3 linked regions of the Oreochromis niloticus genome follow. The protein of the gene in region 1 purifies or fractionates together with the protein of each later gene. This does not show direct contact. Links are inferred from orthologs where the notes say so. Each region holds a gene or a part of one and is shown in the gene's direction. Other genes may lie near its edges. The genes, in order: mad2l1, kif20a and anapc1.

Evidence for each region.
Region 2: the proteins of mad2l1 (region 1) and kif20a purify together in Homo sapiens (affinity purification with mass spectrometry; 4 studies listed by BioGRID and IntAct, with this or other methods). This does not show direct contact. The link is inferred for Oreochromis niloticus from reciprocal best matches to the Homo sapiens genes MAD2L1 and KIF20A.
Region 3: the proteins of mad2l1 (region 1) and anapc1 purify together in Homo sapiens (affinity purification with mass spectrometry; 3 studies listed by BioGRID and IntAct, with this or other methods). This does not show direct contact. The link is inferred for Oreochromis niloticus from reciprocal best matches to the Homo sapiens genes MAD2L1 and ANAPC1.

The regions. Positions count from the first base shown.
Region 1 is NC_031967.2:3,973,841-3,977,440, reverse strand, and holds the start of mad2l1 (mitotic spindle assembly checkpoint protein MAD2A), read left to right. Parts: upstream 1-1,381; 5' UTR 1,382-1,519; coding exon 1,520-1,583; intron 1,584-2,048; coding exon 2,049-2,195; intron 2,196-3,529; coding exon 3,530-3,600. UniProt on the Homo sapiens protein: Component of the spindle-assembly checkpoint that prevents the onset of anaphase until all chromosomes are properly aligned at the metaphase plate.
Region 2 is NC_031975.2:12,692,377-12,696,207, reverse strand, and holds the start of kif20a (kinesin-like protein KIF20A), read left to right. Parts: upstream 1-1,355; 5' UTR 1,356-1,534; intron 1,535-2,630; 5' UTR 2,631-2,640; coding exon 2,641-2,808; intron 2,809-3,248; coding exon 3,249-3,359; intron 3,360-3,454; coding exon 3,455-3,574; intron 3,575-3,762; coding exon 3,763-3,831. UniProt on the Homo sapiens protein: Mitotic kinesin required for chromosome passenger complex (CPC)-mediated cytokinesis. Following phosphorylation by PLK1, involved in recruitment of PLK1 to the central spindle. Interacts with guanosine triphosphate (GTP)-bound forms of RAB6A and RAB6B.
Region 3 is NC_031978.2:10,099,545-10,103,375, reverse strand, and holds the start of anapc1 (anaphase-promoting complex subunit 1), read left to right. Parts: upstream 1-1,158; 5' UTR 1,159-1,351; intron 1,352-2,144; 5' UTR 2,145-2,168; coding exon 2,169-2,384; intron 2,385-2,754; coding exon 2,755-2,919; intron 2,920-3,127; coding exon 3,128-3,170; intron 3,171-3,255; coding exon 3,256-3,353; intron 3,354-3,831. UniProt on the Homo sapiens protein: Component of the anaphase promoting complex/cyclosome (APC/C), a cell cycle-regulated E3 ubiquitin ligase that controls progression through mitosis and the G1 phase of the cell cycle.

The DNA.
Region 1 (3,600 bases):
CTGCATTTATCTTTCATCAAAACCAACTCTAGTTGTGGGCAGTACTTCAAAAAAAGATTGGTTTCAGAACCTATTATCCCCACTGAGGTGAGGCCATACATATGTATTTCCTATCTTGCAACCTGTGGTATAAGTTCCAGCTGTTTCCCTCCTAGAACCAGTCCACCCCCTCCCTTAGCAAAATAGTGCCTGACTCCTACAGCCTCTCCTACAGGTGGTGGGCCCACTAGACAGACTGGCCCATGTGGATAATTCAGTCAGAGTCTGGCAGGTCCCCATGAGTTATGACCTGGCCACCATACACTTGCCAGTGGGCCCCTCAGTGGTAGGGCTGAGGTATCCCTTTCCTGGAAGAGGTATCATATTTCATAGGTTTTATCATCATAGGTATCTTCTGAATCACAGTTCGTTCGACTCTTCACCCAAATCAATTTGTCTTAGGAGATGATACCAGGGAACAATTGTCTGGAAAACAAAGTTCTGAGATCACTGGGGTATGTAAAAAAAATATACAAAGTGTGAGAAAATCCAAGTACCATAATAGTCAAAACACTGTAAATATGAAATAGAAATTTGAGAAAAAAACATTACCTGACCTAAATATGAATGACTGTAAATTTTCACCTACTAAGTACTGTCTGATGTTTCAAATGTAAATGAAACGTACGAATTAGAAGTGAAGGTTAACAGATGTGTAAATAATAATACTTTCTGACAGTTTGATGTGTGGTGTTCATATCCTGTGTCTGTGTGGGGACCTTGTTAATGAGACCAGCTGCAGCTGGAAAGAAGCCATTTTTCATGAATCACAAGTTTCCCAAAGAAGGTTCGAAGCTTTTCATTAATTTTGGGAGAAGTTGGTCAAATCTAATCTGCCCACTTAGTGGTCCTGGAGGTGTGCAGGTCCCGCATGGCTTTCCTCCAGAAAGAAAAAGCCAATTACTGACTGAGAAAAAAACATCTATGATATATATATAAAAAAGCACATAGCAAAAAGAGAAGTACAGCGCCAACAAGACTTAAAAGCTAGCATTAACTGAAATTGTCTTTCTTTTGTTTTGCAATTTTGATTCTTTTGTGTGAAAGCTGAGGGACTTTTCCAAGTCTGCATACAATGGTTGTTTGGACCCCTTTAGGATTATTAAAACGTGGTATCTACAATATTAACCTATTACTTCAGTCATTTGCACAGTGACACATTACAATAATATACAGTCAATTAAAAGATAGAAATGGCTTTAACATAAGAAAATAAATAAATGCCAACAATCCTGTGTAACGTTCAGACCGTGGCGTTGAATTATTATTCTACACTGCTCTCTAGTGTCGCAAAATTGTAAGCGTAACCTAAGACGTCATCAACCTTGCGCCCCAATCTCACACGCATGCGCAATTGTGTGGAAGCTGACAAAATTCAAACTGGGTGGCGGGTAGTTGAAGTCGGAAGACGTAGAAGAAGAATTAAAAGAAAAACGTACAATATATTTATTGTTGAGAACTCAACCAAAGTGTTAAGAAAATGACAAGCACGTTGAAGGGAATTACTCTCAAAGGAAGCGCGGAGTTAGTAGCCGAGTTCTTTTGTAAGTATTTCTGTTATTTCATCTTTTAGTCGCTCGTTTTCGACATGCATGCATGTAAAGCTAATATGCTATTGGGCCTACATAGTGCCCGATAACATATTAGCATCAACGCAGCATGTATGCACTCACATGACAAGCTGTTGATCAAAAATAAAGTGTTTAAGCCTGACGTATCCTATAAGCGTCAATTCACAACTTCAAACCGAATAATTTGTAAAGACTGTCTAGTTTTCGGCCCTTGTAGTGAGAATCGTGAATGTACACCATATATGGTTTCTATTCTGCCGAGCTAATATATTCATTGATTCCCAGTTAGTTTTCTCTCGTGTTATTAGCTGTTTGTGTGTAGTTGTTTTTATACTCTTCTATCCCTTTTAAGTTTGAACCACATAAGCCTCTAAATTTTACGAATACTAGAATTCTGGCGTATTTGAACCCTTTGATTTCCCCCTTTGTCATAAACAGCTTTCGGCATCAACAGCATCCTGTACCAACGGGGCATCTATCCTCCAGAGACATTTACCAGAGTTACCCACTATGACATGAGTCTCCAACTCACTACTGACCTCAAGCTGAAGAACTATCTGACTAACGTGGTGTCTCAACTTAAAGGTATCTCAATAGTGGGCTTCTCCACTCGTGACACAACCAAGTAGAAAGTGGAAAAACTCAACAAGAAAAAGTAAAGGCTTAAGCCGTACTGAAATACAAAATAAGATGATGTTTGTGAACAATGAATGATTTTGTCTATTTATTTTGATAATTCGGTTATCGGTCTTTACTCAATAAATGATAGTTTATAGTAACTTGTTAATTGCGATTTCTGAGTAGGGCCACATGGTGGTGCATTTCCCCCTCCCCTTTTTGTTGTGTTGAATTGGATGAACTCAGATGCCTATTAGACTCATGCCTGAGATTTTAATTGGTATGACCTGGCATCTTATGATCAACGTTAAGTAACATACAAAGCAGCACACGTGAGTTTCCATTCCCATGTTACACAAATTTGTGTTAAGCTACTCTTAGGCTCTTGTCAGGTGAACTACAAGCTATTTCTGGTTAAAAACACTTAGATTTTTTTTTTCATTTTTGATTTGCCAATTTTTGATTTTGCCATAAATACTTATGTGTGTGAATGAGGAAAGAGATCGGTGCACCCTTTTCTGTCCAAGGTGATGCCATTGTAATATTATATTTTATTTTTTATTTTGTTCTTAAATCCAATGCCCCCAACTGTTGATGGCTGCCTCCTCGGGTTTCTTCCTGTTGAAAAGAAGTTTTTCATTCCCATCAATGCCTAGTGCTTGCTGTTCTTGGATCATCTGATTGTTTTTCTTTTTAAGCCTGTGGGGGTCTTTACTTTAAAGTATAAAGTCTCTTGAAGTGACTGTTGTGATTTTTAGTGCAATATAAATAAAACTAAATAGAATAAATGTCTCTGGATTTTCAGTTCAAATTTAGTTAATGTAATTCATATCAGAATATTCATATTTTTGGGTGCTTATGTCAAATCACTGAAGCTCTCAACTGTGTAATGCTAAGAGTAGTAAAATTACAGAATACAAATCATATCTAGGAGCACAGAGTATAAGTGCTTTTTCTCCTTTAAGTTCTAAAGATGTTTTAACTTGATTATTGGGATTTTAAGAATTGGTGTTAGTCAGAATGGTTACTGAATTATTGATGATGTTGGTTAGATAAAGACATTATGGTTGAGGGTGGTCATTCTTGCCACAATGTGTACAATATTTAGTGTACATTTGCATTTACAGCCCATATTCAGAATGGCTATTTTTCTCACAGACGTAGAACTCGTGATCTTTTGGATATAGTTGTGGATACAAAATTCTCTACATCTTTGTATTATGTTTTTAGGGAGTTTAACTATCTCTCACCTTTCATGACAACACATCATTAAAAATTTGTTTGCTCTTTTTGTGTTGCAGAGTGGCTTTTTGAGTGCACTGTGCAAAAGCTGGTGTTGGTGATTACATGTCTGGAAACCAACGAGGTGCTC
Region 2 (3,831 bases), on another chromosome or scaffold:
GGGTGCGATATGACCAAAATCTCATATCCCGATATAAGACATCTATCGTCTGATAACCATATAAATCACAAAAATGTAACATTTTCTGTAAATTCTGTGAATGTCGGGCAGCTCGACTTGCGTGAAGTGTTTCCAGCTGGGCGTCGTGTACCTGGAGTCGAGTGTTTTAACTTATGCATGAAACGATACATTTTTAGACATAAGTTGTAACAGCCGCCGTTTTCTTTGTGAGTATTTATTACACAGCGTGCTGCGGGGAAAAGCCTGTTCTAACGTTTGAGTCAAAGGTTTATTTTTTAGCTCTTTTTTTGCTTCTCATCCGTAAATACTCTGCAGACTCTTTCACGTGATTTAGTTGATTTTGAAAAGTCTCAACAGGATCTTGAGCTTTATTGTGAAAGGTTTGCTAACGACAACGCATAAAAACAGGCGCTTGTCCGTCCGTAGTGTGGTTATATTAAAAATAAGAGAAAGAGAGAACTTTAAGAAATTAATATAGCCACTACAGTGACCATCAAAACGATGAAAAAAATATTGCCGTAAACAGTTTATTTTGCGACACCACGAAACAAACGTAAAATGAAACGATAGACGTTTTTATATCTCATCCGATATATATCGTTATATGAACAGCCCTACCTCCGACTGCTGCTCTTTGTTGCTTTCGTCGCATTCGTCGTCTGTGACGGTCCAAGTTTGAAGCAGGGATTTCGGAGTGCCCCATGTATAGCGTTGGAACCCAGTCAGGATTTGTTTCATCCATTTCATAGGCTGGTTTGCCTGCAATTATGCTAAATAATTAGCAACTCCATAAACAGAACGCAGTTCTGCAAAATCCCTCATTAAGATGTTTGTTCTAATTTGCTATGACTTCATAGCGCATCGAAAATAAAACGAATATGAACTTATTTAGAACTTACCCGAATGAAAATGTCTGGAACACACCAGCAGATATCTGGGGATGGTAGTGAACTGGATATCAGCACGTCTCACAGCTGCTATCCAGGCTAGACGCCTTCTTTTGGTAACATCCGATACAATAGCTCCCTCGCGTTGCCTCCAGGTGGGGAAACAATGAAAAGATAGCCCATTTTCAAGCTTATTCCCTTGCCGGTCGTGCGATCTAACGTTACAACCCAGCACACAGCAAGTACGAACCATAGCTGATGTTATTCGCGTGCTTTGTTTGGCCTACTAAAATGGCACCTCGACCAAAACTCCTGGCCACAGCCCCTCCCACGACGTCACGTTCCAAAGCCCATGCGCCATGCGAGGTCCTGTTAACCAATCAAAGGGAAGACAGCGATACACTTTACCCAATCGGCGAGCCTCCCTGTGGGGAAGCGCATTGTTCAAAAACCCAAAAAGCAATCGGGTAAAGCGGCTCAGCTGGTGCTAAGAGATCCAGACAAAGAGGGTTTGCTGAACTGATACAGTTTTACCTCACCGTTGGTTTTTGGCGATCTATCGTAAACATTAAGCTAACGAGCTTACTGGAAACCAGGCACATTTTGGACATTCCAGGCAAGTTAAAGTGAGTTCTACTTAAATGTGGGCCATACGACGTTAAACAAGTTAATTTAATAGTTACAAAAATTAATATTAGATTGTAACTATAACTGTTTGACGGAGGTTATGTAAGTGTGTGTTAAGCTAAATGCAATATCCACGTGTTTTGTGTGCTTGTTTTTGGTTTTGAGTGACTGCACGATTTTCCCATTTAAAACCAGGAAGCAAATCTCTTAGTTAGCATATATTGGTATATTGGTAGAAATCATTGTTATTACTTTATGTTAGCTAGTATAAACATTAAAGTGACTCTGTTTAATTCACTGCAATATAGGCTCCGTTTACTACGTCCTTACTGGGGGCTAAACTTGGCTACTTGCACATGTAAAAGTGCAGCATTGAGGGTTTTTTTTAGTTGCACTCAGTTCTGAGACATCTTCTTTTAAAGGCACAAAGTTGGCTTGCTTTAACAAGCAGTGAAAGGTGAAGATGCCTCGAGTGATTTTTGAATGCTAAACGTGGATTTTATACTTTTTAAATGCTGCTCAGTGTAACACGAATACCATTTGAATTTTTAAAAAAGGGAATGAAATTGAAAAACCGAGACTTCTAAAATCGCTCATCTTAATAGCTACAAAGAATAAGCACTACAGAAACCCAGTGCCGTAGGACCTGCTGTAGAGCAGTTGTATTGATCAGCACTAATGCCAAACTTGTCTGGTCTGGTGAAAGCCTGGGAAATATTTCCTGTTTGACTACTTAAGCAGGTTCAATTTGGCTTTAAACAGTAAACTAGTGTTCCTTTACCTGTCAGCTTGTTTGATGACGACACACCCATGTTTAACTAATTCATAGCAATGAAATGCTGCTTGAACAGAGAATAATCCCATTTACTACTGGACATCATTACATCATTATAACAAACAACACTCACACACTCGTGAGTAAGTTTAGTTTTTCATCTTTTATTGTATATTGCTGCTTTTCCAACACAAGCCTATATTATTCTTTCGAAGTGACTTGTGCACATGCCCTCAGTCAAGCCCATGTTTGAAACATTTTGCAATCCTCTTTTAATAGAATTACTACATACTAATGAAAACGTGTTATTCTTGGAACAGATAGACGGGCATGGCGCTGTCTTTGTCATCTCCGTGTGGATGCCCCTCTGATGAGGAGGAGGAAATGGCTGTGTTTGAATCTACAGCAGCAGAGCACGGAGGTTTGGCCAGACCACGTCTACCAGAGATCTCTGTTATTTCCCCGGGCCTGGACACAAGGCCATCCATTACAGGGCCGGTAAGAGTTCCCAATAAAAAAACATCATACGTCCCTCAGGTATAACAAAACATGTTCAGAGCAAATCTATATTAGATTTTTTGTTTTTTGTGTGTGTCTATATATATAATTGATCAATATTGCCAGAGGTGTAACAGTTTTTCAAAGCCATAATTTCATACCTCGCTTTTCTTTCAGAGGAGATGTATAACATTCTGTTTAAACTACATCATTCTGACACATTTCCAGTTCACGTGTTACCTCACTGATTCTTAAACACTGCTGCTTTCTTCAGTCTGGCAGGCTTTAAATAGGCATTAAAAGCCCAGATGGGTATTGCAGTAGAGCGAGATGCAATATGTAAAATTCTAAACCCTGGGATTGCAGTTTGGTGGTGTTGCACTTGTTAATATTTTTCCATTCTACCATCAAAACATTTACAAAGATGCTTGTGTGTTTAGAAAGTAGCAGTGAAACCTCAAAGCTGCGATGAAGGGGCCGCTGAGAGGGTGAAGGTTTTCCTGCGCATCCGACCACTTACGGACACGGAGCGATCCAGAGGGGAAGAGCAGGTAAGACATTAAGGTCAACATTGTTGTTTCTTCTGGGATAAAAGCTTTCAGTACTCTGTAACTGTACTTGAGAGTCTATTTTGTTTTTCCTTTAGGGTTGTGTGGCTATCCAAGACGAAGAGACCCTGCTGCTTAAAGCTCCAAACGACTCTCAGAACATGAGAGCAGCAGAACGAGGCATCACTCCGAGTATTCACAAGTTCAGTTTCACGAAGGTAGGAGAGTCATATTTGTAGCTTCTCTTTACTTAAACATATTGTTTCCAACCTGAAAACCCATTCAGAAAAAGAAACTGTGGTAATCACGTGATAATATTTTCAGAGAAGAACTTTAATGTAGTGGGGAAAATGGGAATGCTAGAGTAAAACAGTGAAGATGTTTTTTTCTTTAAATTTCCCCTTAGATATTTGGTTCTGAGACAGCGCAGCAACAGTTTTATGAGAGCACAATGAAGGCGATGATAAACGATGTG
Region 3 (3,831 bases), on another chromosome or scaffold:
TGCATTATTCACAGTTCTCTACTAGACCTTGGTAAAATTTATTCGCCGTCTAAAAATATTTTAGATTATCTTTCTTTAAAGCCATCCTCCTTTTAAACCCAATTTGTTGTGATAGACTGGCCCTCACATATAGAAGGGTTGAACAGCAGAAATATGGGGGTAATACATAATTAAATTACAGCTTTAAATAAATTTAATAGATATTCAAAAACGTTTTATTGCTACAAGACATAATATTTGTAGTATTAGAATAGAATAGAATAGAATAGAATAGAATAGAATAGAATAGCCTTTTATTGTCACTGTTACAAGAACAGTGAAAGGCAGTTTGGCATCTCTCCATGTGTGTGGAGTACACAATAGCGTAAGTATTTACACAATAACAGACAAATTTACATTTACACAAGAAAGATATGCACAAGTTATACATACACCTGCAAACATACACCCACATACACACATATATGTATATATATATATTTGCATCCGTACATGCATACACACACATATTTCCACATACACGCTTACATCTATATACATACACATACATGCCATCTAACAGTGCAGTGTGATCAGTGATATTGCACATTGAGTGTGGTGTGTGTGGGGGGGTGGGATGATATTGCACATTGAGTGTGTGTGTGTGTGTGGGGCGGGATGATATTGCACATTGAGTGGGGGGAGGGGGGGGGGTGCTGTTGGAACTATACTAAATAATGTTATAATAAATACAGTTTAAAGAGGTAAGGGTGTTGGTTGCATTGAAGTAGCCTATTGTGCAGTATTATTTATATCCTCGACATCTCTGAGCCTCTTGCTTTCCTTTCCGAAAGCTTTCACTTTACTGGAAGCCTCAAGTGCAAATTTACCAATGGTCTCTAATAGTAAATGTCCCTAAAGAAAGACATAAACAAATGAGTTTCGTTTTATTTATTTATTTTTCATCTTCAAATATCTATATATACCTAGATTTTCTACAAATACTGTTGGTATTTTATTTTTTAAATTATATTTTATATTAATTATATTATATTTTTAATTTGTGGCTGAATTACTTATATAAAACATCCTGCTCATCACAGTCTTTCTTAGTAGTGTCCATAGCGCTGACGAAGGCAGCCTATCAGCTGTCAGCATATCGCCTCCTCGCTGCTGATTGGCTGACTCGTGGAGGAATGGGATGTCGGGACAGCAAAGATGTCCGCGCTCATTTGAAAACCTGCTATAGGCGAATACGGAATTTGCCACTTGTCTTTATGTTTGTAGGGTGACAACGTTGTGCTCAAGCGAGACGCATTGAAAGGAAAGATAAGGACTCCGCGACAAGGGCCAGACTATTCCTTATTATCAGGTTAGCGGCTAAATGTCTCCCTGTAAGCTTAAAGCTAGCTGCAGCTAATGGTAGCTAGCATGCTAGTCGGGCCGTTTCAATGGTGTTTAGTGTCAGCATGCAGACTCATAGCTGACTGTCAAGTTGTATATTTATGTAATTTACAGCGTCTTAGTGTCTGTAGAGTACCGAATTTTGTTTGTGGGAGTTTTTGAGGTAAGAACTTCCAGCTAACTTCTAGCATGTCGCGTCTATCAAAGTCAACAGAAACTTGCTACGGTGGAAGTACTGTGGAAATTGTTAATGAGATTTCTATCCCCTACTATGTTGACCCCTCTAACGGGATAGTTTCAGTAATAGTAAAGGTCCAGTGAGCCTGCTTCAGCCAGCTAAGTTGTCGATGTGTTAATAGAGAACATTATTTAGCCACCAGTAATGCAATCTGTCCTACAGTCAAGTAAATGAAATAAAGTTATTTACGCAGAAGAAGTTTATTTACACCTCATCTTATACTCACTGGTATTTACTGTACTTTACAGATAGCCTACTGATAAAAGTAATCTCATCATTAATGTTATAAAGAGAAAATGAAAGAACAGTTTATGTGAAACTCTTGGTTCTTAAATACTACAGTAAACTTGTCTCGAGGATCCATACTTTATTTTTATCGTGTTAAATAATCGATATGAATACTACAGCTAAACGGACTGGTATGGCGCAAATTGGTGATGCTCTTCAGTTGTATTGTGTCTGGAAAAAAGTCTTGCTTGCTTTTAAATACTGTCATTTATACCTCAAACTCTGTTCTTCCCAGAAATAATGCTGATATCTGAAACTCATGTCGGAAGTCGTGTATGAAGAGACAGCCACGATGATTGCCGCAGGGGAATTGCAGTCATTTGTCCCGTTTGGCCGCGAGCACTGCAGGAACCATCCAAACGCCTTCAACCTGCAGCTCAGAGAGCTCCAGCCTGCCTCCGAGCTGTGGGCATCAGATGGTGCTGCTGGCCTGGTGGGGTCCCTGCAGGAAGTCAGTCTGCAGGAGAGAGAGAGGGTGAGAGTGTCTAGTATTATGATCTATAATGTTTCATAATAGGAGTGGGCCATCTAACAGTCTTATTTAATGGATAGCCTGAATTGTTCTCCTGACCTGCTCTTCAGAAGAACTAGTGTGTATTAAACAGTAAAAATATAAGAAGAAAAATGGTAAATGGAATACACCTAAAGGATTTAATTTTTTTTCATTAATATATCTTTAATTACTTTAAATCTTTACTTATTTTTTATTTATTTTTTACAGTAATATAGTCAATGCAATTGTTACAACACTGCTGCACTGCTTTCATGAAGGCAGTACTTCATGTGTTGTTAAGCTCAAATGTGGTTTTGATTTGGTTTTTGTGTTGATGTGATTTGAATGGCAGGAATTTTGGCAGCTTAGGAAGGGCTGCAAGGGAGTCAAAGAGGAAGATATGGAATTTGAAGAAGAACTCTATGCAGCAGGAAACGTGGTTGTCTGGAGCCAGGGTAGTAGGGCTCAAGCTTCCAGCGTATATAAGGCCTTCACTGTTGACAGCCCAGTGCAGCAGGTCTGTTTCTGATTGTTTTGTGTACTATATGGTCTCTCATAATTGTGCTTGTCCATTCTCATTTCTAAGGGCAAATGAGGGACCATGTTGTTTTCTGTCAGGAATCAGTATGGCTTTTGCTTTACTATATGGATTGTATATCGTCCGCGATGATTGTCAGGATTCTGTGCTCTAAGACTTGAAACAGTTTTTTTTTTATTATCTCCAGGCCTTGTGGTGCAACTTTGCTGCTCCTCACAAGAAGAATGATGGTACTGTGTCTTTTTGTGCAGTTTTTTGCTTATTCATATTGCAGTCCTGATGAACAAAACACAGAATGTATTTAATGTTTTGCAGAGGAAGAAGTGGAGCTCACAGTGTGTATTGTCCAGAGTAGCTGTGTTAATGTTCACACCATGACTGGAAAAGACTTCATCTCACCACTGCCCTTCCAGGTGAGGTATAGAGCAATGGGGAATGTTTATATCCAGAGAAGGAGATGGGTCTACACATGAGCCACAAAATTCTTTTAAATCTGTGTGACTCAGTTGGACCTCCACTACCTAAACTTCCACCTCAACACAGATGCACGCTGACATACAGCAGTAACTGCAGGCTTCTTTGTGTGTCTCCCATGTTCCAGAACGCTGCTGAATAAAAGGATAATTTGATTAGTGGATGCATAAGTCTCTGAAACATTACCCCACCTCGCAGCTGAACTAAAACCACACAACCCACCACATTTGGATTAGGGATATTTCTCAGAGCCATTATTGGGTAACCATTTTCTGGTTAACCAGTAATGATAGAAAATTTGCATCACTGACAGTGGGAAGTAAGTGTGTGTGAGTTTATGTGTGTGCATAGCTATGTGTATTTACGAGTGTCTTTCACTCAGTAGTCTGTTGCACACCAACAAAATATAATTTGATT